4 linked regions of the Arabidopsis thaliana genome follow. The protein of the gene in region 3 binds, or shares a complex with, the protein of the main gene of each other region. Each region holds a gene or a part of one and is shown on either strand. Other genes may lie near its edges. The genes, in order: HCAR, PPH, NYC1 and ACD2.

The links.
Region 1: NYC1 (region 3) and HCAR share a complex: the UniProt entries of both Arabidopsis thaliana proteins name them as parts of the SGR1-CCE-LHCII complex.
Region 2: NYC1 (region 3) and PPH share a complex: the UniProt entries of both Arabidopsis thaliana proteins name them as parts of the SGR1-CCE-LHCII complex.
Region 4: NYC1 (region 3) and ACD2 share a complex: the UniProt entries of both Arabidopsis thaliana proteins name them as parts of the SGR1-CCE-LHCII complex.

What each region holds. Positions count from the first base shown.
Region 1 is NC_003070.9:1,281,639-1,288,525, reverse strand, and holds HCAR (coenzyme F420 hydrogenase family / dehydrogenase, beta subunit family), read left to right. Parts: upstream 1-1,906; 5' UTR 1,907-2,033; coding exon 2,034-2,115; intron 2,116-2,524; coding exon 2,525-2,630; intron 2,631-2,722; coding exon 2,723-2,807; intron 2,808-2,898; coding exon 2,899-3,010; intron 3,011-3,156; coding exon 3,157-3,241; intron 3,242-3,345; coding exon 3,346-3,387; intron 3,388-3,521; coding exon 3,522-3,600; intron 3,601-3,684; coding exon 3,685-3,736; intron 3,737-3,835; coding exon 3,836-3,898; intron 3,899-4,072; coding exon 4,073-4,170; intron 4,171-4,247; coding exon 4,248-4,283; intron 4,284-4,363; coding exon 4,364-4,425; intron 4,426-4,529; coding exon 4,530-4,557; intron 4,558-4,652; coding exon 4,653-4,732; intron 4,733-4,817; coding exon 4,818-4,887; intron 4,888-4,985; coding exon 4,986-5,043; intron 5,044-5,203; coding exon 5,204-5,268; intron 5,269-5,363; coding exon 5,364-5,458; intron 5,459-5,566; coding exon 5,567-5,657; 3' UTR 5,658-6,363; and 1 more. Other genes in the region: AT1G04625 (Polynucleotidyl transferase, ribonuclease H-like superfamily protein), read left to right, coding at 1-294, 606-695. UniProt on the Arabidopsis thaliana protein: Probable iron-sulfur flavoprotein that converts 7-hydroxymethyl chlorophyll a to chlorophyll a using ferredoxin as a reducing equivalent. Catalyzes the reduction of a hydroxymethyl group to a methyl group. Belongs to the chlorophyll catabolic enzymes (CCEs).
Region 2 is NC_003076.8:4,451,189-4,456,236, forward strand, and holds PPH (pheophytinase), read right to left. Parts: upstream 3,521-5,048; 5' UTR 3,324-3,520; intron 3,173-3,323; 5' UTR 3,120-3,172; coding exon 3,060-3,119; intron 2,963-3,059; coding exon 2,327-2,962; intron 1,984-2,326; coding exon 1,757-1,983; intron 1,657-1,756; coding exon 1,465-1,656; intron 1,366-1,464; coding exon 1,209-1,365; coding exon of another isoform or gene 1,203-1,208; exon of another isoform or gene 1,127-1,202; coding exon 875-1,126; 3' UTR 547-874; downstream 1-546. Other genes in the region: AT5G13810 (Glutaredoxin family protein), read left to right, coding at 4,581-5,048. UniProt on the Arabidopsis thaliana protein: Alpha/beta hydrolase dephytylating specifically the Mg-free chlorophyll pigment (pheophytin), yielding pheophorbide. No activity on chlorophyll. Belongs to the chlorophyll catabolic enzymes (CCEs).
Region 3 is NC_003075.7:7,683,701-7,688,797, forward strand, and holds NYC1 (NAD(P)-binding Rossmann-fold superfamily protein), read right to left. Parts: upstream 3,307-5,097; 5' UTR 2,992-3,306; coding exon 2,701-2,991; intron 2,609-2,700; coding exon 2,530-2,608; intron 2,444-2,529; coding exon 2,308-2,443; intron 2,216-2,307; coding exon 2,141-2,215; intron 2,046-2,140; coding exon 1,850-2,045; intron 1,760-1,849; coding exon 1,691-1,759; intron 1,605-1,690; coding exon 1,465-1,604; intron 1,392-1,464; coding exon 1,269-1,391; intron 1,193-1,268; coding exon 1,000-1,192; intron 906-999; coding exon 717-905; 3' UTR 534-716; downstream 1-533. UniProt on the Arabidopsis thaliana protein: Involved in chlorophyll b degradation. Belongs to the chlorophyll catabolic enzymes (CCEs).
Region 4 is NC_003075.7:17,440,884-17,444,830, reverse strand, and holds ACD2 (accelerated cell death 2 (ACD2)), read right to left. Parts: upstream 2,220-3,947; 5' UTR 2,205-2,219; coding exon 1,863-2,204; intron 1,687-1,862; coding exon 1,069-1,686; 3' UTR 536-1,068; downstream 1-535. Other genes in the region: CEN2 (centrin 2), read right to left, coding at 60-87, 176-212, 290-419, 514-516; HSF4 (heat shock factor 4), read right to left, coding at 3,125-3,760. UniProt on the Arabidopsis thaliana protein: Catalyzes the key reaction of chlorophyll catabolism, porphyrin macrocycle cleavage of pheophorbide a (pheide a) to a primary fluorescent catabolite (pFCC).

The sequences.
Region 1 (6,887 bases), on a different chromosome or scaffold from region 3:
CCGATGGAAAGTGAACTCCAAGCTTTAGTCATGGCCATGCAACATTGTTGGAGTAGGGGCTATAGGAAAATTTACTTTGAAGGTGACAATAAAGAAGTCTCAGAGATTGTCAATGGTCGGTCTTCAAATTTTGCAGTTTTTAATTGGATAAGAGATATAAGCGCTTGGAGATCAAAATTTGAAGAATGCAAGTTTACTTGGACAAGGCGATTTTCAAACATGGCTGCAGATGCTCTGGCAAAACAACAACTTCCTTTGAACACTCAGTTTTATTGCTATAACTATATCCCGTTTGTAATAACTGATTTTTTACATCGCGACTTTGCTACAGCAAATTATTAATAAAGCTGATGTTTGAGGAAAAAAAAAAAAACTACAAGATCAAACCCTAGTTCCTCCGATGAAATTGCGGTTAGAAAACTAAATATTGATTGACCTAATTCAAAGAGACCTTTTTTGTGCAGAAACTAAATATTAAAAATCCAAGGTTCCAAGAGATCAAATAGGAATTTAAGCGAGAAGCAACATACCTGAGTCTCGTGACAACGGCGCGTGGTTTGCGTCAATACTTGGGACTCTCGGTGAGATCCGCCATGATTTGCTAGAGAGATCGTGAAACGCAAGAAAACAGAGAGACAAACGGTGGCGAGATCATTGATGGTGTGATCACCGAGTTACAGTTCCGACGGTTCTGACGGTGGTGAAAATGGATGGTGATCATCGAGCTTTGACGTTCTCGTGATCGGTGAGTTCTTTTTGTAAGAGAGGAACAGAAACAAACAGAGGCTAAAAAGACAAAAGAAGAAGAAGAAGGTGGATTTTTTGTTTTCTTCTCGTAATCCATGCTTTGGACCTTGTATCAGCCACTTATGATCATTTGCTATATTGATGCTTTCCAATTTTAGAGTATTGAAATGGGTTTCTTTGACAATCATTTTGAGTTAGTCATCATTCCTTGTTCTGAATCAAGAATTGGCTTTTGTTATGTTGTCTAGGTTCTGCTTGTAACTAGAGTAATGCTATTGTAGTCTCTGTTGTTTATTTGTAGAATCATAGAGAGTCGTGGAAGCATGTTTTAGTTGTTACTCTCGATTTCTTGTCGATGTTGTGGTGTTATAAATTGAGCGTTTTAACCAATACAAGTTAGGAGATGGTTAGTATGTGACTATGTGTTAGTGGCCATGTATGTAGTTCGATCAGATAATCTGAATGATGTGCTAAAGAGCTTGCATAGGAAGACTGCCTTTGTGTTAGCTTGCATAGAGACTTGTTGCAATATATGAGACTGAAAACTATTATGTGAAAACTTTAATTTGTGTACAAATATTTTTAACTCTTAAAATTAAACTAACATTGTACCAATTAGCACATGAAAGAAACACAGAATTCTGTGAACATATGATGAATAACTATATAAACACATTATGGATTCAGTTAAGGAGACAGAAACAAGAAGATGAATTTCAGATATATAGCAATAGAGTCACTTATAATCATATCAGAGCTTATACTTTATACAAATTATCACTTTAGTCCTTAAATTAAAACCGATTTAATCGACAATCTTGTTATTCTTTAAAACAATTTGTTCTTATTTTCAATCTTTAAATTTTGCAACAATCGACAGAACTTATCGTTATTCCGTGTTTTTATTTTCATATCTTTCTTAAAATGTTTCAAAATAATATATGTTTAATATTTTCTGATTTACAATAGTTATTAAGTTATATGAAATATAATTATTTTAAATTTTATTTTATTTTTCAGAAAACTCTTATAAGAGAGCTTACCATTAGAATATGAAAAAAAATTAAAACTCTCTTATAACTTTTTAAAAATTTTAATAATAAAAAAATGGAGAAAGCCCGTGAAAGAGCTCTTACGAACCAAAACCATTCAGTCCGGTTAAGAATTGGTTATCAAGTTTGGTTCCTAAAAGATATCCAAGTTCAAAAGCAAAAAAATATCTTCTTTTCTCTCTCTCTACTCTCTTCTCTTCTTCTCTTCTTCTCTTCTTCTCTGGCTGGGCAACCATGATTACTGTCGTCACCTCCAGGCTCTCTCTCCTTCCTCCAGTCTTCTCCGTCGTTAACTCTTCTTCTTCGCGTTCCAAAGGTGCTCAATTTATTTCTGCCACGTCTTCTCTTTATAGCACTCTGTTTTACACACGTCGTTGATTCTTCAGTTTTTTAAAAGACCCGTCTTATACAAAATTTCAGTGTAACCGATCCCTGAAATTCGTTAAAGGGATGAAATTTTATCTAAGATTCGGAGTTTTCTTTTCGAACATAGTGGTAATGTTTGTCGAATGCTTGATTTGGTCTTCCACAGCTGTCACTATCGAGTTTGAAGATAGAAATCTTGTGTTAACTTAGTATGTATTACTGCATAATGTCAATTCTGTTTGAAAGCATCAGAATTTCGGAACAGATTTTTGTTTCGTATAGCATCGATCTTTGTCTTGTGTGTTTTTATCTTCTCTCTGAAGCCTGCATGAACCCTTCTCTTATGGCTTTAATTGCAGATATGAATCTAGAGCCAAAAAAGAAGGTTAAATTAAGAGAAGACTGGAGAGAAAAGTCCAGACCTATCCCACCCGGAGGAACCTATCCAGCTAAAGACCATTGCAGGTTTTTTCTTTCTTTTTTGTTTGTTTGTTTGTTTACCTCACTATTTTTGTCTCATTCTTATCAAGATCCTTGGTGTTCTGATGGGTTTGCAGTCAGTGCGGGCTATGCGACACCTACTACATTGCCCATGTGAAGGAGGCATGTGCATTTCTTGGAGATGGAATGTCAAGGATTGAGGTAATGTCCATATAAATGGATAAGATTTGATACTCTTTTTAATTGATGGGCTAAGATTCTTATTTTGTTAATATTTTAAGTTCTTGTGCAGAGCTTGGAACCTGTTGTGCATGGTAGAGGAAGGAAAGCAGATTCCTTACAAGATACATATTTTGGGGTGCATCAAGAGCAGCTCTATGCTCGTAAGTTGAAGCCTGTCGAAGGTAAATAGACACTTCCCTTCCACTGTTCCACATTTTCTACTAACTTCTTTTCCTGGCTCAATCTAAGCTAGGGCACTTTTGTGTCTCGTTCAAGATGAATTTAGCTTAGCTTTGTTGTTTACTTTTCATTCTATTTTCGGTTGCAGGAGCTCAGTGGACTGGAATTGTCACAACCATAGCCATTGAGATGCTGAAATCTAATATGGTTGAAGCTGTCGTTTGTGTGCAGAGGTAAAACTACTGTTGAATTTCAGAAATGGACTAGGCTTACATTTATCGACCATGCTGTAGATTTTTCCATCTATCCATGTAACTGATTTATTGAAATATTACAGTGATCCTGAAGACAGATTATCTCCAAGACCAGTATTAGCCAGGTTTTCCACCTTCCTAATGTGGTTTATTTTGAGTCCATTCTTCTTCAAGTCGCCATTTTTTAGATGTGGATCCATATTTTGCTGTTACTCTGGATATAGAAGCGTATTGATGTTTCATTTCTTTTCATTCTAAGGACACCTGAAGAAGTTTTGGCTGCAAGAGGTGTCAAGCCAACTCTGTCTCCTAATCTGAATACTCTTGAATTAATCGAGGTTATTTGCCAAACCCTTATTTCTTGTTTGTGTTTTCAATCACTGAATCCATTTCACATGAACTTAGAATTTGTATTGTAACAGGCTTCCGGAGTGAAGCGTCTTCTGTTTTGCGGTGTGGGTTGCCAAGTGCAAGGTATGGGCTCAACATACTTTTTTGTGGACGTATATTTCAAGTTTCTCCATATCGTGACTCTCATAGTATTGTAATGCAGAGTGATTTCTTATACTGCAGCATTGAGATCAGTGGAGCAGCATCTGAATCTGGAAAAGTTGTATGTACTAGGCACCAATTGTGGTATTTTCCTCATCCTATCTAGATTTGTTTTTTCTCCAGAACTTTCACAACTAGTTCTTGTGTTGTACTTTTGAACATTCCATGTTGTATATGTTATTTCGGAGTCTTGTATGCTTAGGTCTAGAAATGCTTATACATTTTTAAACAAGTAAAAAGAACATCTTTGATTAATAGTGGACAACGGAACACGAGATGGACTAGACAAGTTTCTGAAAGCAGCTAGTAAAGAGCCAGAGACTGTTCTCCATTATGAATTTATGCAAGATTACAAGGTTAGCATTAATACAAAACCATCACTTATCTGTGCATTTTCTTTGGTGATGCCAATCTTGTTCAATTTCTCTTATAGGTCCAACTCAAACACTTGGATGGACACATTGAAGAGGTAAATTCGCTTAAAATACTGTGTTGCTCTGCAATTGCAGCTGAAAGCCGTTTTTAAAAAACTTTTTTTGGCTAAAGCAGGTTCCCTATTTCTCTCTACCTGCAAACGATTTAGTAGATGTCATAGCTCCATCGTGTTACAGGTAATACAAGTCTCTGCATTGTCTCTATACCTTGAAATAGATAACCTGTCGGAAATTTTTAAAACTTGTCTACAATTACAAACCCTATCTTTTTTATTCTGCAGCTGCTTTGATTACACAAATGCATTAGCGGTGAGTGTTTCTCTAGCAATTAAGATGTCTTTTCACTTAATTTTGATTCTGCCAATTTCAAACATTTCCTGATATGTATGAGCTTGTTTATCTAGGATTTGGTTATCGGTTACATGGGTGTTCCGAAGTATTCAGGTCTGAACATGACTGACCATCCACAGTATATTACAGTGAGGTCAATATTTCTACGTATTTTGACATGGACCATATAGGTTCTCGTGGTTGGATAAAATTAGTTTTGTTTATGCCTTAAACCACAGAAATGAACGTGGGAAAGAAATGCTCAGCTTGGTAGAAAACCTTTTGGAGATCACTCCAACAATCAGCAGCGTAAAGTTTCTAACATTTATATTTGTTGTTATATTTAAGACTTTAAGAGTCCACTTAACAAATAACATGAACAAACACACCTTTTGTTGTTGTTTCAGGGTGATCGGCGACCTTTTGTGACAGAAACTGTTAAGGCAGACGATGCTGCTAAGTTTGGTATGTTTTCAAACGTATTCGAAACTCTTTTGTTTCTTGAATCGTCTCTGCTTAAAGACATTCAGTTTCAAGCAAAGCTAGATGCCAAAAAGAAAGTTCTCAGCAAATGCATGCAACTAACATTGTGCTAAAGTCTTCTAACTAGTCTATAATTTCTTAGGTCAAGGTCCTGCTCAGCCAGCGCCACTATTTGTTGGAAACATTATTGCGTTCATCCTAAATTTGGTAAGATTATTTCCTTATGAACACAAACCGAGAAACAAGCTCATTGCATAAAAAGTCAAAGAGTTTCTTAACTTGCAAAACCATTCTTGCTTCAGGTTGGTCCTAAGGGTCTAGAATTTGCTCGGTACTCGTTGGACTACCATACCATCAGAAACTATTTGTACGTAAACCGCAAATGGGGAAAGCAAAGGTAAGATCTGAAACACACTCCTAGAGATAAAAGTTTATTGCGATCAACTGTGTATTTCTATACTATTGGATCGTTCTCTAATGACCAAAGCTGCATTACCATCTACAGAGCAAACACCCACATGCCATCATATGCCAAAAAGATAGTGGAAATGTACAACAAAAACGGCCAAATAGATAAAATGCTCTCCAAGAAATGAACATTTTAGGCCTTTCTCATGTAAGTTTCCAAATGTATATTTCATCCTACAAGTGAGTAAATGTACATTGGTCCTACTGTTTCTCAACTTGTAGTATGTTAGTAATATCCAAAACTATTTCCCTCGTGAATTTGGTAAGACACCGGCAAGAAAAGATGGGTCGGTTTGGTGTTTTTTGGCAGAGAACAGAGAATAAGAAACAGTCTAAATCAGCGGCTGAATCCAAATCAACCCATGTGGGTTCCTTCCTCCATATCTTTAGGTTAAGGTGATGTCCGAGTAAAAGGTTGCAGGGTTTTGCATGAGAACATGAATAACTGTTTTAAGAGGATGGGAACCAGACATTTACACAGTTGGGGGGAATTAGCTTTTAATGTCTTTTTTTTGCTTGGACAAAGAAGAAGGAACCATGGTTAAGCTTCACTCGCTCGCTCACTCACTCACTCACTCACTAACTTACTCATCACCATATTTCACACATTGGAAACTTCAAATTTTACTCTCTCTCTTTTTTTCTTTTTTTGTCTTTTTGTTAGTCAAGTCTCTGCTCTGCTCGTTCAATGACTTTGCTGCAGAGACTCTCAGACCTCAAGTGAAACTCATAAATGTCTCTGCTCTTTTGCACCATAGTTGATTTTTTCTCACCAGAGGCATTGTCCTAATACAGAGCATGTAAACGTTTTTTCTAATAATATATTTAAGTGAAATAAAGCTTACTTTGGTACCTTGAATTAATTTTGAGTTGCAATTTGACATATAACAATGTTAGAGAATTCATTTACGTATTGCATATTTTGGATCTGTATCTGTATCTGTTTCAGTATATATATATTTATAACTAGATCCAACATCATATATAATATATGATTTCACTCAAGTTTTTCTGAGAAAGTTGTATAATGTTATATTTATTATCCATCTGTGTTTCAAATTAGATACATTGTTCATCCCTAATGGATTTTGCATATCCTACAGAAATGCATGTTTCAGTATTTTCAACTTGTGTTCCCTGGAGGTTGTAATCCATGAAACAACTTTAATATGGACTGTCCAAGACAATCATGTGTAAATCAATCATTTGCCAAATATAATGATTACAAAATGGCTAATAATTCCTTAATCAGTTAAATAACAGCTCTAACTTGTGAGAGTATTCTTCCAATAATGAAACAGCATGAAATTAGTTGTTTCTTTTCCTGATCAACAACATCATCATAGAGATAACACAAC
Region 2 (5,048 bases), on a different chromosome or scaffold from region 3:
GTATTTTCTCTTTAATGTTGTTGTAAGACATAAATCAGACCAACAATGTTGACCGACATAAAAATAAAAAAAAGTTCAGAGCAACAATTAGAAACAATTTCAAAGTACCCCCAAGAATAAAATTGCAACAACTAGCATTGTTTGATGGTTACCATTATGTTATCAACTAGTGAGAGATAAAAAAACATACTGAGAAGTAATTTCTTACAACTAGTGTAGAACGACACTTTAGTAGCAGCTTTGTAACACCGGTTTTTTTTTTTTGACACTCAAATCAATAAATAGATAACGAGATTTTATCAGAGACTAAGAAACAAATTAAGAAAAGAAGCAGACCAAATCTCATGTTGGATATATAGCCTGTGTAAGTAAGTTTCTCAAAAGTGGTTTGGATAGCCTTCTAATTCAGTCCCTTATTTGTTGACCGTGGAACTGACAAAAATGAGATTCAAGCTAAGGGAAGAATATGGTCAAGGATACGACTTTGCCTCGAGAAAAGTAACCAATGATACGTCTTTTCAAACACCATACATGTTCAATAAAACTGTTCACCTTTGGAAATTATTAACAATTCAAATACACTCACTTTCTTCTTTTGGAATCAGAGTAATTTCAAGCTCTCTTCCAATTTTTAAGACAACTCATATGGCCTGCAATGTCGCCTTCCTATATTAATCTGAACCTGTGGATTATATACAACAATGCAAGAAAGGAGTTCCTTCGATTTAGGTGACTAACTATCAAGTAGATATTTTTCTAACTTTTCCTTTTGAACATTTTAGAAACTTGATTCTACAGACAACATTATATAGCTAGCATCGGATGCAACATAGATTACAATTAATTTACACTAGACGACTGTTCCATGCTTCTTCTATGCAGACTTCCCTCCAAACACCCTTATAAAACTGGATCTGAAAGATTCTCTAACTCCTCTCCAGTACGTATAGTTTGACCCATATAACCACAGATTCACTGCTTTTTTCCAACCATCTCTCGGGAACTCAATTTCTCTACCAATCCTGGACTCCTCCCAATCTTCTTCAGTGTCCTCCAAAAGCGGGAGCGCTTCAAAACCACCAGACTCCAGGTGCTTGATCCACCCGCGCATCAGATAGTTCACCACCTGCTCGTTTTCATATCCCAAATGGTGGGTTCATTATACCTAATTGCAGAGTTTGAAGAATTTATTGACTAGTTCATTATACCTCAGGGACTTCATCGTGTGGGCAGTGACCCGCTGGGCTGATCTCGTAGTATGGAGCGTTGGGGATTTCCTTCTTTATCTTCTTTCCCCATAACGGTCTCACCCATGGATCTTCTCTTCCATACATGAGACATATCTGAACATTGTTTTCCTTACACCTAGCATAAACCATCAAATAGCAGCATTCCTCATAAGCAATAACACCAATCACGCAGAGTAAAAAACATATAAAAACAAGAAACCACACTGTCTTATACCTAGATAAAGCTTCGGAGAAAGATAGCTCTCCACCAGGAGCAAGCATGATTGAAGCAAACGATGCTGCAGCAGCCGGATGCTGTGTGACCTCCACAATACGTGAGAATACTTTATCCACATTGATAGAATGGTCTGTGTAGACCTGTTTAAGTATCTCAGCTATGCTTTCAGGATCACTTATCTTTTGCCACCTGCAGTTTCATTGGGAAGTAAAGATATTAGACTGATAGAGATAGAAATAGAAAATGATACTTTTCAGGTGAGGAGATGTGTTAATAAAGTCTCCCTTACACCAATTCTGTGATTTTTTTCACTCTTTCCGGCAGAGGGAATGCTCCGGGCCATGGAAAGAGACGTGCTAGCTTTGGGGATCTTACTGGATTAGGGAAGAAACCCCAGAAAGGTGTTGCATTAAGCAAGGTAACACCCTTAACCAGGTGAGGATGGGTTGCTGCAAAGTAGAGAGCTACATACCCTCCAAGTGAGTTCCCTGCAATGTACACAGGCTCACCGATAACCTGTACAACACAAATACCACATACTCTTACCGACTCAGCAGCTTATTTCAGATGAAAAAGATCGTGATCTCAAACTAGAACACAAACGGAATCAAAGAACAGAGATGAATTCTAATATCTAGTGCATCCTAAACTTTCCCATTCCCAAAGCAACACCAGAAGACTCCATACCCACACTTTCAGGTTCTGAGCTGAAAACTATTGAAATCCATGAGTATACGACACATAGCAACAATCTACACTAAAAAAAAAAAGCTAACACACTGCTTTTGAAATTACGACTAAAAGAACAAAATCAACAGCTTAAAGAGTAATAGAACAACTGAACTCAGATATTGCTAACCTCTTCTACAAAATACTGAACTTGATCCCTCCAGAGATCCAGAGAGAATACAAGTTGATCAGCCCACGGTTCAGTTTTGTCACCAAATCCCCAAAATGGTTCCTTATCTTCCGAGGAACTGGTTTCTTCAGTCATGGTAGTAGGATCTTCAGTAGGGAGAGATAAACCCTGTCCAAGAAAATCAATAGCCCATACTCGATAATCCCTTCCCAAATCGGTAAGCTGCTTCTCATAGTGAAATGAACCAACGCCAAAGCCAGGAAGAAACAACACCGCAGGAGCATCGAGATTGTCACAACCGGCTTTCTCATAATGTACTCTAAGCTTGGGCTTCCACTCGCAGTGAGAATGACTGATTCGAGCAGCAATTTCACCATTTGATTCATCAGGCAAACCAGGAATCAAAACCTTTGACGTTGATTCTCCTCTTCTGGCTATACGACCCAAGTCATCATTCTCACCAACAACATAACCATCGGAATTTCCACTTCGAATCACAAGTCTGGATTTTTTGACCCCTGAGAATAACAAACTTGACCGATTTGGGACCAATCTTTTCGTTGCTAATTTACTACTCCAAGTAACCACAGAGCACTGGGGCACAACGTTCAGTGAGATTATCTCCATAACAAGTTCCTGCAAATGAACAACCAAAAGGCATATCCTTTAATACGAATTTTCCACTCATATATCTCAACTTCATAGCAAAGCTAAGAATAACAAGGAAAATCACATATGAAGCTGGAATCTTTGTATAGTTATCAGAATTTTGCTTCAAAAGCTGAAACCACATACAAAAAGTTGATGAACTTGCGGTAATCTTCTATGAACTCGTCTTATCAAATCCTAATCAAAACAAAGCAAATCAAGGTCAAGCCAATCTTCTATCAAATTGAAACCAAACAACAACAACACCACCCGATTCATCGACAAAGAACTCCAGCTATATAATAAACCCAGGAAGAAAAGAAAGAAAAGAGAGAGTTGCAACTTGTACCTTTTCAAATTCCAGAAGCGAGAAGCTTCATCAAATGGTCTCTCTGAGAGCGTTATTGAGAAATTAAGCGAGGAAAAATCTAAAGGTGAAGAAGAAATAGAAGAATTGGGTTGCTTGCTGGCTTGGTTAACTTCAATCGTTCGGTGCAAACCGACAGCAACGTTTTTATCGAGTTTTTATTTTTTCTTAAAGGATCCAAAATTCATACTGTATTATTAAGTGTAGGGTTATTTTTTTCACAATATGACATTTTGTTTTGGATCTGACATTGCTAATTTGACACCGATGTAACATTGCAAAAACACATGTTTGTTGCAAAAATATGACAGAATAATATTTTTTTTAAAAACAATTGATTTTTGATCTTCTTTTCCATTGTGTAACAATCGGAAAACAAAAAAAACAATCGAAAAACCTGCAGTTTTCATATCAAACAATATAAAACCCGTTTAATTTTTGAATGGTTTAATCACTATTTTAACGGTGTTATTTGAGTTTTCTAGTTGATTTTAAATGTTAGAGAATTGATCTTGTGTGAACTAAAAATCCTAATGGTCGAAGACTAGAAAGCGAAATACACTACTCTTCAATTAGAATACAGACAACTATCTCTAAACCGAGCGTAGAATCAATAGCAATAAACCGACCGTAGAAACTGGTTTCGCTGTAACCATAACCTTTCTTAATAAGACAACCGCGTTTTACCAGTAAACGACTTTTCCTCGCAATTTAATCCCACTTTTGTTATTTTTTCAAATTCGTTTTTCCTCGAAGGAGCATCGAGTAAATATATCATTAAAGAGCCTTTAATAACTTAGACATAATAATTATATCTTTAAAAAAAAAACAGAAAAATTCTTTGCTTTGCAACAAAGGCAGACAGACAAAAGGCTAATTCGGAGCTCTCCTCCACATCTTCTTCCAAAACACAAACAAACCCCCAAATTTCCAGAAAAATCAGATCATTCTTTCATCAATCTCGTCTTCTTTAATCTTAGGTGAGAATTCATCAGCTCAAAAACGCAGCACCCGATCGTTTTACGACTCAAATCAGAGAAGCTGATTCTTTTCCAATCATTCCAATTTCCATTTCTTCCTTGGGAGGTGATCGACGATTATTCAATTTATGTTTTTCAATTTCTCTTTCTGTATTCGTCAATTTGCTTGAATTTGATCCTAGGGTTTTGATTTTGTTGACTATTTTAGGTTTTACACCAAATTAGCCGTCGAAAGGGGTGCTTCTTTGATCTAATTTCGATGGCGGGATTAGAGAAAAACGCTGATTTCTCAGGGAAGACGACGAAATCGGCTACAACGACGTCGTTCTTCAACAGGTCGCTTACAATTCACGGAAGAACAGTGGTGGATTCGGGCCCCAAATCCCACAATCTCAATCCTTCTCTCAATCGTACCACCTCCATTACCAAATTCTACACCCCCGTAGAATCGATGGGAACTTCTCTTAAAGGCAAAGTCAAAAACCTTTGTAGATTATTCGAGACTTCCAAACCCGTTAAACCTGCCTTAGCTGAGATTCCTCAGAAGCAGAAATCCGGTAAATCCCTTTTACCCGAATCGCGGATATCGCCTTTTTCGAGCTTAAACAACTCGGTCATCCGTCTTCCCGGGACAGAGGACAGGATTGTGGTGTATTTTACTAGCTTGAGAGGGATTAGACGGACGTATGAGGATTGCTATGCTGTCAGAATGATATTTAGAGGGTTT
Region 3 (5,097 bases):
ATTGCTCTCGTAATCAAATCCTTATACTTTCTCCAACCCTTACTTTTGTTATTGTCGTATTACAAAATTGTTTTTTTTTTTCTTCCGGACAGTGACGATTGATATTTAAGGTCTCGTTCGTCGTAAAAACGGCCGTAAAAAGCCTATTTGCCGACCATTCTGTTATATCACCACCCATATTCTGAGTCCTACTTTTTGACTTTTGTTTTTCAATCTTTCTTCTAATCGATTTTTTTGGCCAATGATTTAATCAAAAAAATAGACAAGCATATGTCTGAATTAATCCTTGTTGATAAAATCTAATCTTCTCTATGAGGCCAAACAATCTTTGGTTTGTTTTTGTTTATTTGGAAAAAAGGGTCAAGTGATGATTAATAATGCATAGTTCAAATGATCTCCATGATTACTATTCAGTAGCACAGTCTTTCGCTCCTATCTGATGGCCCTCCACTTTTTTTATTGATGCAATGTTATTGGAGCTGTGTTTTTTTAACTCCGCTTAATGGGCCTTTAAAGGCCCAACTAGTGAAAACTAGAAAATACTACAATCTGATAAAAGTTTATTACAATCTATTTTTTCATTGTTTTCAACAACGACACATTCTACAACTATAAGAAGTGTTTACATGAACAAATCGGTTCTGTTATATATATGTTTTTTATACATAACATGTACGTTTACAATTTTCTTAAAACACATCCGAGGAAGATGTTTGTTATGTGCCTGGAAAAGAGCTAGGTGTTGTGCTTTGTAAGATGATGAAAGCGCAAACAACAGAAAGAGAGAAAACAGAGACCCAAGTATTCTCTGTATACATCTCCATCGCGTCTGTTAACGACAACCTCGTCCTGTTCTCTGCCCAGTTCCTTAGTCTATCTGCTTCTGCTGCATATAACGCCCGTCCCTGCAAACACGTACACATCTTTGCGTCAGCTCAGGCTTAACCAAGTGAAGGATTTGTCAAAAAACTTGAACTAGAACTCAAGTGTAACACTTACTTGGTCATCAAACCATCGGCCTCTCCTTAGCCAGGAAGTGACAATAGCTAACAATATCCGAGGAGGAGTTAGGTAATTGACGGCTTTTCCCGAACCTTTCACAACTCGCATTCGTGGTACCAAAGTTCTAGCTACTGTCTCAGGAAGCTCACAGATTATGTTAAACATCTGCTTGTTTTTAATGCTCGAACCACTGCCAAATAAATGGTTGCTTCAATAAAACTCCGGAGCATTCTGTTCTAGGCCTTAGTGACAAAGTGTATGCATACCTGAGAAGAAGTTCTGTCAGAACCATGCCAGGGGATGCAGTGTGAAGGCCAACGTTTGTTTTTTGGCTTTCTTTCACTATAGACCCATGAAACTGCCTAAGTCCACATTTTGTTGAACCATATCTGCGAAAGCTCACAGACTCAGAAATGTGTTCTAATTCATTAGAGACTAGTAACGAATGATTTGAGTTCTTACACGGCAGTGAGAGGAGTACTTGAACCTCCAGAGCCAGCACCATCCATGTTAAAGATGTGTCCACCACTGTGCTGTCTGCTCATCACATCCATAGCCCCTCGTGTACATAGAATTGATCCAATCAAATTTGTGGAGACAATCTACAAAATAATAGTTACAATTAGACTAATGAACTTCACCATAAGCTCAAGCTGAAATTAAGCTTTAGGTTCAAAAAGGATTTTACCTGTGTGATATCTTCTTCCGTGAACTCGAGTAGCGGTCTAAAACCTTTGTTAGTACCAGCATTGTTTATCTATCCAAATGAATATAGACAGTGAGCAAACATATGACTAAAGATACAAAAAAAGTTACAAACTGTACAAAAAGAAATATGTTTCTTTACCCATATGTTGATGGAACCAAGCTCTTTTACAGCGAAATTCGACAGCTTCTCAACGTCTTCGGGTTTGCAAACATCACAGGCAATACCAACTACCTTAGCATCACTCAGTTTCTTTCTAGCTGACTCGCTAGCGTTACTCATAATCTCTTTGAGATTTTGCTCTAGCTCTTTGACAGTCATATCAACAGATTCAGAACTGATTTCACAAACAAAAACCAAAAAACAAATCATATTAAGACTTCATTGCTTGATAAAAACTAATCCATAATTCCATATATACAATTTATCAACCTGCGAGATGTGACAATGACTCTGTCTCCAGAGAGAAGAAACTCTCTAGCAAGAGCTTTCCCTAGTCCCCTAGTGCTAAAACACAGCATAAAAACATACATCAGCATCAAACCAAAACACAAAGAAACAAAAATCAAAAAATGCAAAAACAAAAGTAAAGAAGGTACCTTCCGGTTATAACAACATTCCGTGGACCGGCTCGATAATGATCTTCCAAAACCATGTTAGCACCAGTCATGGTTCCAATGATAATTCCACCAAGCCAACTATACCAAACCAATGAGTTCATCGAACTATCTCCACCTTTCATCACAAATACATACACTCAAAATCTCAGTCAAACAAAATTACCAATAAAAAAACTCTTCTACAATAGTTTTTGCACTAACCTGATAATTGAAACCCAATCAAAAGAATAGCTCCAGTACTTGTCATCGTCACAATGTATCTCGCAATTTGAACAGCAACCTACAAAATCACAAACACATAAAAATTAAGCTAATCAAAGCAAAAAGATTGAAAATTTCATTAAGAAAAAAAGAGGAAACTTTAAGACTAACCGAAGAGAAAACCATCTCCAAGTTTTCAACTTTCTGATTATACTCATCTTTAGACAAGAACCCTAATTTACTAAACCCTAAAAACCCAGATTTCAAAGAATCCCACGACCCATTTCCCTTAAATTTCTCAACTTTTCTCTTTCTTTCAACTTTTTTCTCACACCGATGCACATAAACCCTATTACTACGTTCTCTACAAGTCAATCTTGACCCGACCCGTATCGGATCTCTGAAGAAGAGACGGTGCTCCAAGACTTGTGGGTACACTTGAATCTTCGTTAAAGTAGTCATAGCTATGGAAGAAGAGTGAGATAATGATAAGCTTTGAAACTCATACAAAAAGATAACTTAGAAAACAAGATAAACGAAGGAGCTTTTTTAGGGACCCAAAAGATAGATTGTTAGATATTTTTCAGCTTCGGATTCGTCGAAGACGTTAAATAGAGTGATCGGAGGAAGAAGAAGGAGATTAGGACGAAGAAAGAAAGAGGTGAGGGAAAGAAAGAAGGAAGAGAAGTGTGATGGCCACACGTTACAGCAACCTCATCTCGTTAGCCTAACATTGACACGTGTCATTTTGTGTTTCTTTTGTCCCTTCGCATGTTTTCAAGATATTTTTTTCTCTCTTTGGGAGCTACTTTAGATTTTGGTTCACATGAACAAAATTTTGATTCAGTTTTGCTTCTAGAAAGCCAAAATTTGATTTCAAATTACATTTTACTCAGACTTCGTCATTACTTATGTACCTGAGTAAATTATTGTAGTATCCATTGTCACATTTGAGTAGATGATAGAGATTATTGTCAAACTACCACTTACTTATTTATATTATTTTAGAACAATAAAAAATTATAAATTAAAAATTTAATATCAAACAAAGAAAAGTTGATAATGTTTGTGTTTATGATAATTTTCTCCTTTGTGTAAACTTTAAGCTTTTTGTCTCTACCAACTCAATAAATTTATAGTCCCTGTACAAATTTTAAAAATTAATCTTTTTCTAAACTATAAAACAAAAATTTGGACCCTTTTTATGCTAATTTTTTAAAAACACATTAAAATTGACATTTTCATACTAAAAAAAAAAAAATTGTAGGTCTTTTCCATACTAATCAGATCCTTAAATTTACCAAAAAAAATTTGGATCTAGAACAAATGCGCCTCATGCACCTCCAAAGAGCCGGTCTGCTTTACGTGAGACCCAAATATCAGTAAACCTATTAAAAGTCCAACTTCCCTAATAACGAAAACCTAAACGTGAAAGTATGTGGACGTGTACATATGTATATATGCGTTTATATATTTTTCCTCAGTAGCTGAATTTTATGTGTTTTATATGCTCGAAAACATGGAAATAAACATGATTAGATCATGAAGATCATTGAACCCCTACGATCCCTTGAATGTCCAACTTTTGTCTCTTATTGATCACTTACTATTTACTTGCTTCACTTACTTACAACTGTGACACAATAACAACCCTTTCCCCCTCTTTTATTGATTTGTCCTAGTTTTACTCTCTTCTGACAGACTTGTTTGAATTACTTCTCTTCCAATGGAATTCGATCCATAAATACTATGTTGGATACAAACCAAAGGTCCCACATCGAAAGTTTAGAAAAAGAGTTTCTAATATATAAGCCAAGTCCAACTCCAACTAGTATGAGGCCTTTTGGGAAGGAACCCAATAACAAATCTTTGTGGGCTTGAGCATATAAGCCCAAAGAGGACAATATCATACTAAATGAGAGTTGGAATGGGCTTTGAAAGCCCATTAAATGGTATCAGAGCCAGGTTGAAACACTGGACCTAGGGCTTGGGCTATGATCGATGTGGGAAAATCTCTCAAACATGACACGATAAGAAGGTGCCTCAAGAAGGAGGTCCAAGTTCGTGGTCTTTGGTTTGAAGGGGAGATTGTTGGGTACAAACCAAAGGTCCCACATCGAAAGTTTAGAAAAAGAGTTTCTAATATATAAGCCAAGTCCAACTCCAACTAGTATGAGACCTTTTGGGAAGGAACCCAATAACAAATCCTTGCGGGCTTGAGCATATAAGCCCAAAGAGGACAATATCATACTAAATGAGAGTTGGAATGGGTTTAGAAAGCCCATTATACTACAGACGATTAACTGTGCACTTCCAGTAGTCGTGTTGTCAAAATTTGACTAAAGCAAAATAAAACATGCATGTTGGTGTGTCCTTACCAGATATGTTACACTCCTATTTCCCTTTAACCATACATCTAACCAGTGTTCCTAAGGCAAGATAATCACTAATAGCCCACAACAATATAGTTCTAAGTGTGCAATTCTCCTTCATATAAGAATCATAAACCTCTATACATTCTTTCCACACACCATTTAGATCATCTATAATAGGTGCAAGATACACATC
Region 4 (3,947 bases), 9.8 Mb from region 3:
CAATGATCTAAACCATGAAATTAAAACAAAGAAGAAAAAAGGAAGGAAAACAAACAAACCTGATTATTCATCTCAAATCCAAGAGACCTGTAATCAGCTGATAATTTTTTAGTACTATACTTAACTAGAACTTGAAGAAAATAACTTTGAAAAAGAAAGAAAAATTGCCGTTGACCTCATAGCAACGTTGAGCTCGCTAGCATCGATGCTACCTACATATGAAATGATGCACTAAATCATGTGAGCAATAACTTTGTAAATCGGATAAAGAATCGGTTTAATAGTTTACCTGAACCGTCTATGTCGAAAAGATCAAAGATCTCTCTGATCTCTCGTCTCTTCTGATTGGTCAACCCATAAGTCTTCCCTTTAGGCTTTAGACCTCTTCTGAGCTGTGCTGCTTCCGACATGTAATTCGCCTTCCGGAAGACAAAAAGAAAAACAAAACCGATGAACAAAGTAGTCGGATAAAGAATCTAAACTAAGAGACAATCGAGAAAAGAAAACACTAACCATTTCTTGTGTAGGAAGGAAAAGGATGATCTGATAAGAACAAATGGATTAAATGGATGATTTAGTTAATTTGGTTTATGATGCATGCGATGACGAGATTAGTTGCCGATGATCTGTCTCTTTTTTGTCTGGTTACTAACTCTTTTGAAAGCGATTTAGCTTTAAAACTTTTAGTTTTGCACGTTTATGTTCCTTCGTTAATATTAATCTATATATTATATTGGTTTTGCTAATGTAAAATGACATGATCTAGAGAACGAGAAATTTAACAAAACATCCATGTAAAATAGTGAAAAAAAAACTTTAAAATCCATGAGAAAAACAATAATTCAAGACTTTTTTTTACAGATAAATTAGAAACTTGATTGATAAATTTACAATCCCATAGTATTAAAATGAATCAGAAGGAATCCGATTCAGAGATGATTCACAACAAAGACGTTCTTAGGAGAAAACAGGACTTGTTTGATGGTCATCTTGCGTTCTTGTGACATTGATGAAAGTAAATGTTTAGTACAATGAACATTAACTGATGTATATATATAGTTACATAATCTAGAGAACACCGAAAGCTTCTTTAATAGCGTGTACAACACGGGAGGAAACTTCTTCACCAAACATTCTCGGAAACTGCAAATCCAAATCGTCCTCTATGCTCTTCCTTCTAAAGCTTTTATCTCTTCTCTCCAACTCCATTCTCTCTTCTTCCCCAACCACAATCTTCTCTTCTTCTTCCTTCACACACCGCTCCAACCAAACCTCGAGAACCTCCTTAGCAGCTGGACTAACATGATCTCTCAATATCTCCTCCAACTTATCCTCTTCCTCCGCATCAATCTTAAGCATCGAAGCAGTAGGAGAGAAAGCAGAACGGACAAAGAGAGAAGGAGACACATAAGGGTTAACTTCAGGTAGCTTAAGGAGAGATTGTCGATGAGAATCAAGAGCAGTGTCTTGGTAATACTCCTTGAGATAATCCGGGTTAAGAACAAGATCTTTACGATGTGGGAGGTCAAGGATTAGCACAAGCGACTTGGAACTGCTCTGTATTAGTTCGACCACAAAGTTTGGAGCTTTTGTTGATGAGTTTAAGAATCCAGAGATGCTTGTTATATTCAAAGATACTCCTGTTGGGATCTTGCAATGTATCCAACTTCCTATAACAAAATCAATCTGCAAAACAAAACAAACTTTAAGATTCTCTAAAAAGTTTTTTTTTAGGGTTATGATTTACATCGAAATTGAAGTCTGTTTCTACTTAAAATCAAGCAATTGAGCTCTAAAACAAGCATGCAAAACAGTCAATTTCGATCTCATAACTGAAAAACAGAGTTAATCGTCGCAAGTACCGGAGAAGATTTGTCGCCGGATCTGATATGAAGAGATGCTTCGGCGGAACCGTTAGGGTTATTGAAGTTTCGTACATCTGGAGGGAGGTTACAGGGAAGGAGTTGTGATTGGAGGCGATTCTCCACCGTCGACATGAGATCAACCATGAGCTGCTTCCGCGTGGGTGACACATACGGGAACTCCATAAATTTTCGGCGGAGGTGATCGTCGTGGTCTTCCATGGACTGGAATTGAGCTCGAGGTCTGAGATTCTTTGAGAATCGCGACGGTTTTGAAGTTAACGGCGAGAGATATGATGGAGAAGAAGAAGAGTAGAGAGTGTTGCAAAATATCATCGCCATTTTTTATGTGGCTATGACTAAATTATGTCTCTTCTTTTTTATTTACACTTTTGAAGAAATTAATTACTATTTTACCGGGATTATAGTTTTGTGGTTTGTAATATATTTCTTGTGGTGAATTATTACATACACATATTTAAATAAAATAAACTATGCTTTTTAATTTTTAAATGGTTTGAGAGTTGGTAAGTGATCTTCTTCTACTCAATCAAGTGATGCAAGTATTGGGCCAAGAGCGACTTAATTGGGCAAACAAATAATAAGAATAAATTTCTAAATTTTTCGATTCTTAAACAAGTAAATGATTTGTTTGTTGTAGAGCTAGTTGGAATTATTTTTCTCTCTAGTTAAGTAGTGTCTTTGGAACCTTACTAAATTTTTATTTAATTTCATAGCATTTTCTATTTAGTATATTGCTGTATTTTTTCGATTCCTTGAAGACATCTTTATTTTTATTTTCCTGATAAAGAGTTCTAGAAAATGTTTCTGTGACTTTTATAAAGACAATTTCGAGGGAAAAATATTCAACGGATTACGTAAAAACACGGAAACCACCTACTACTACTTGCAAAGAAAATCAATCAAACATAAAAGTAAAATTTCTTCCTCTTTCACAAGTTTTCAACTAAGTAGATGACCTTAGACCAAGTATTTCACATGCTTTTTTACATTATGAAGACATAAATTAAGCAACAATAAAACTTCAACATCTGTTTTATTTTCTTAATACACTAATTAAATTATATAATACATGAAAATCCATTTATATATTTGCGTTGATCCTTCTGGACCTTCTTCACCTTTTTAAAACATAAAAATAACTTTTCTTCCTTACGGAAAAAAATAGTTTTTTAAATCATTTTTTTCGTCGTCGTCGATGACGTGTCACACGCTGGTTTGAACAGTCTTCTACTCTTTTTTTAGTTGCAGACTTTGCTGCTTTTCCACAACGGCGCGTGAAAGTCCACGTTCTTTATTTCCGTCATACGGGACCCACTCACCACATAATTCTTTTCATCCCGGTCCCTCTTTTTTCTCTCTCCTTTCAACCACACCCCAAACAATTTCAATCCTTCACCTACCCCCTCCTCTGCTCCTCCGCCGCCGTCGCAACCTTCGCACTCACTCTCTTCGTCAGACTCCACCGGTTTAAATTTCCCTCCTTTGATCATTTTATCGATTTGTTCCGGTCTTACTTTCAGATGACCCGTCAAGAACGTCACTAGCTCATCGCGCTGCTTCTTCGCCGCCGCGAGCTCCGAGCTCAAGTTATTGTTTTCACGTTTAAGCTTCTCGTTCTCTCCTGATAAATCAGCAACCATGTTCTCCACCGAACCAGGATTCTTCGACGAACCGGGTGATGACGTGGAGCTTGAACCGTGATCATCACCACCACCAGAATTAGACTCAGAAGGCGAACCAACAACAACACATTTCCCCGCCGTTGAAGCAATCACCGATTTACGCCGTCGTATGTCCGTCAACAGATCCTCCCCGCCTCTCCGGAAATAATCGTTTGCAAATTCCCATTTATCCGGTACAGTTTTACGAAATCCCTAAACCAAAAAAAAAAAAAAAAAAAGAACAAGAACATTCTCAGCTTCTAGAAGGTTTTCTCACCAACCCCCAAATTATGAGAAAATTACGAAATTGGCTAACCAACTACAAAAGAATGATTCAATTCACCAAACGAATTAAATGAAGCATTAAATTGAGAGTAAATGAGTTTTCGTTAGAGTGAAA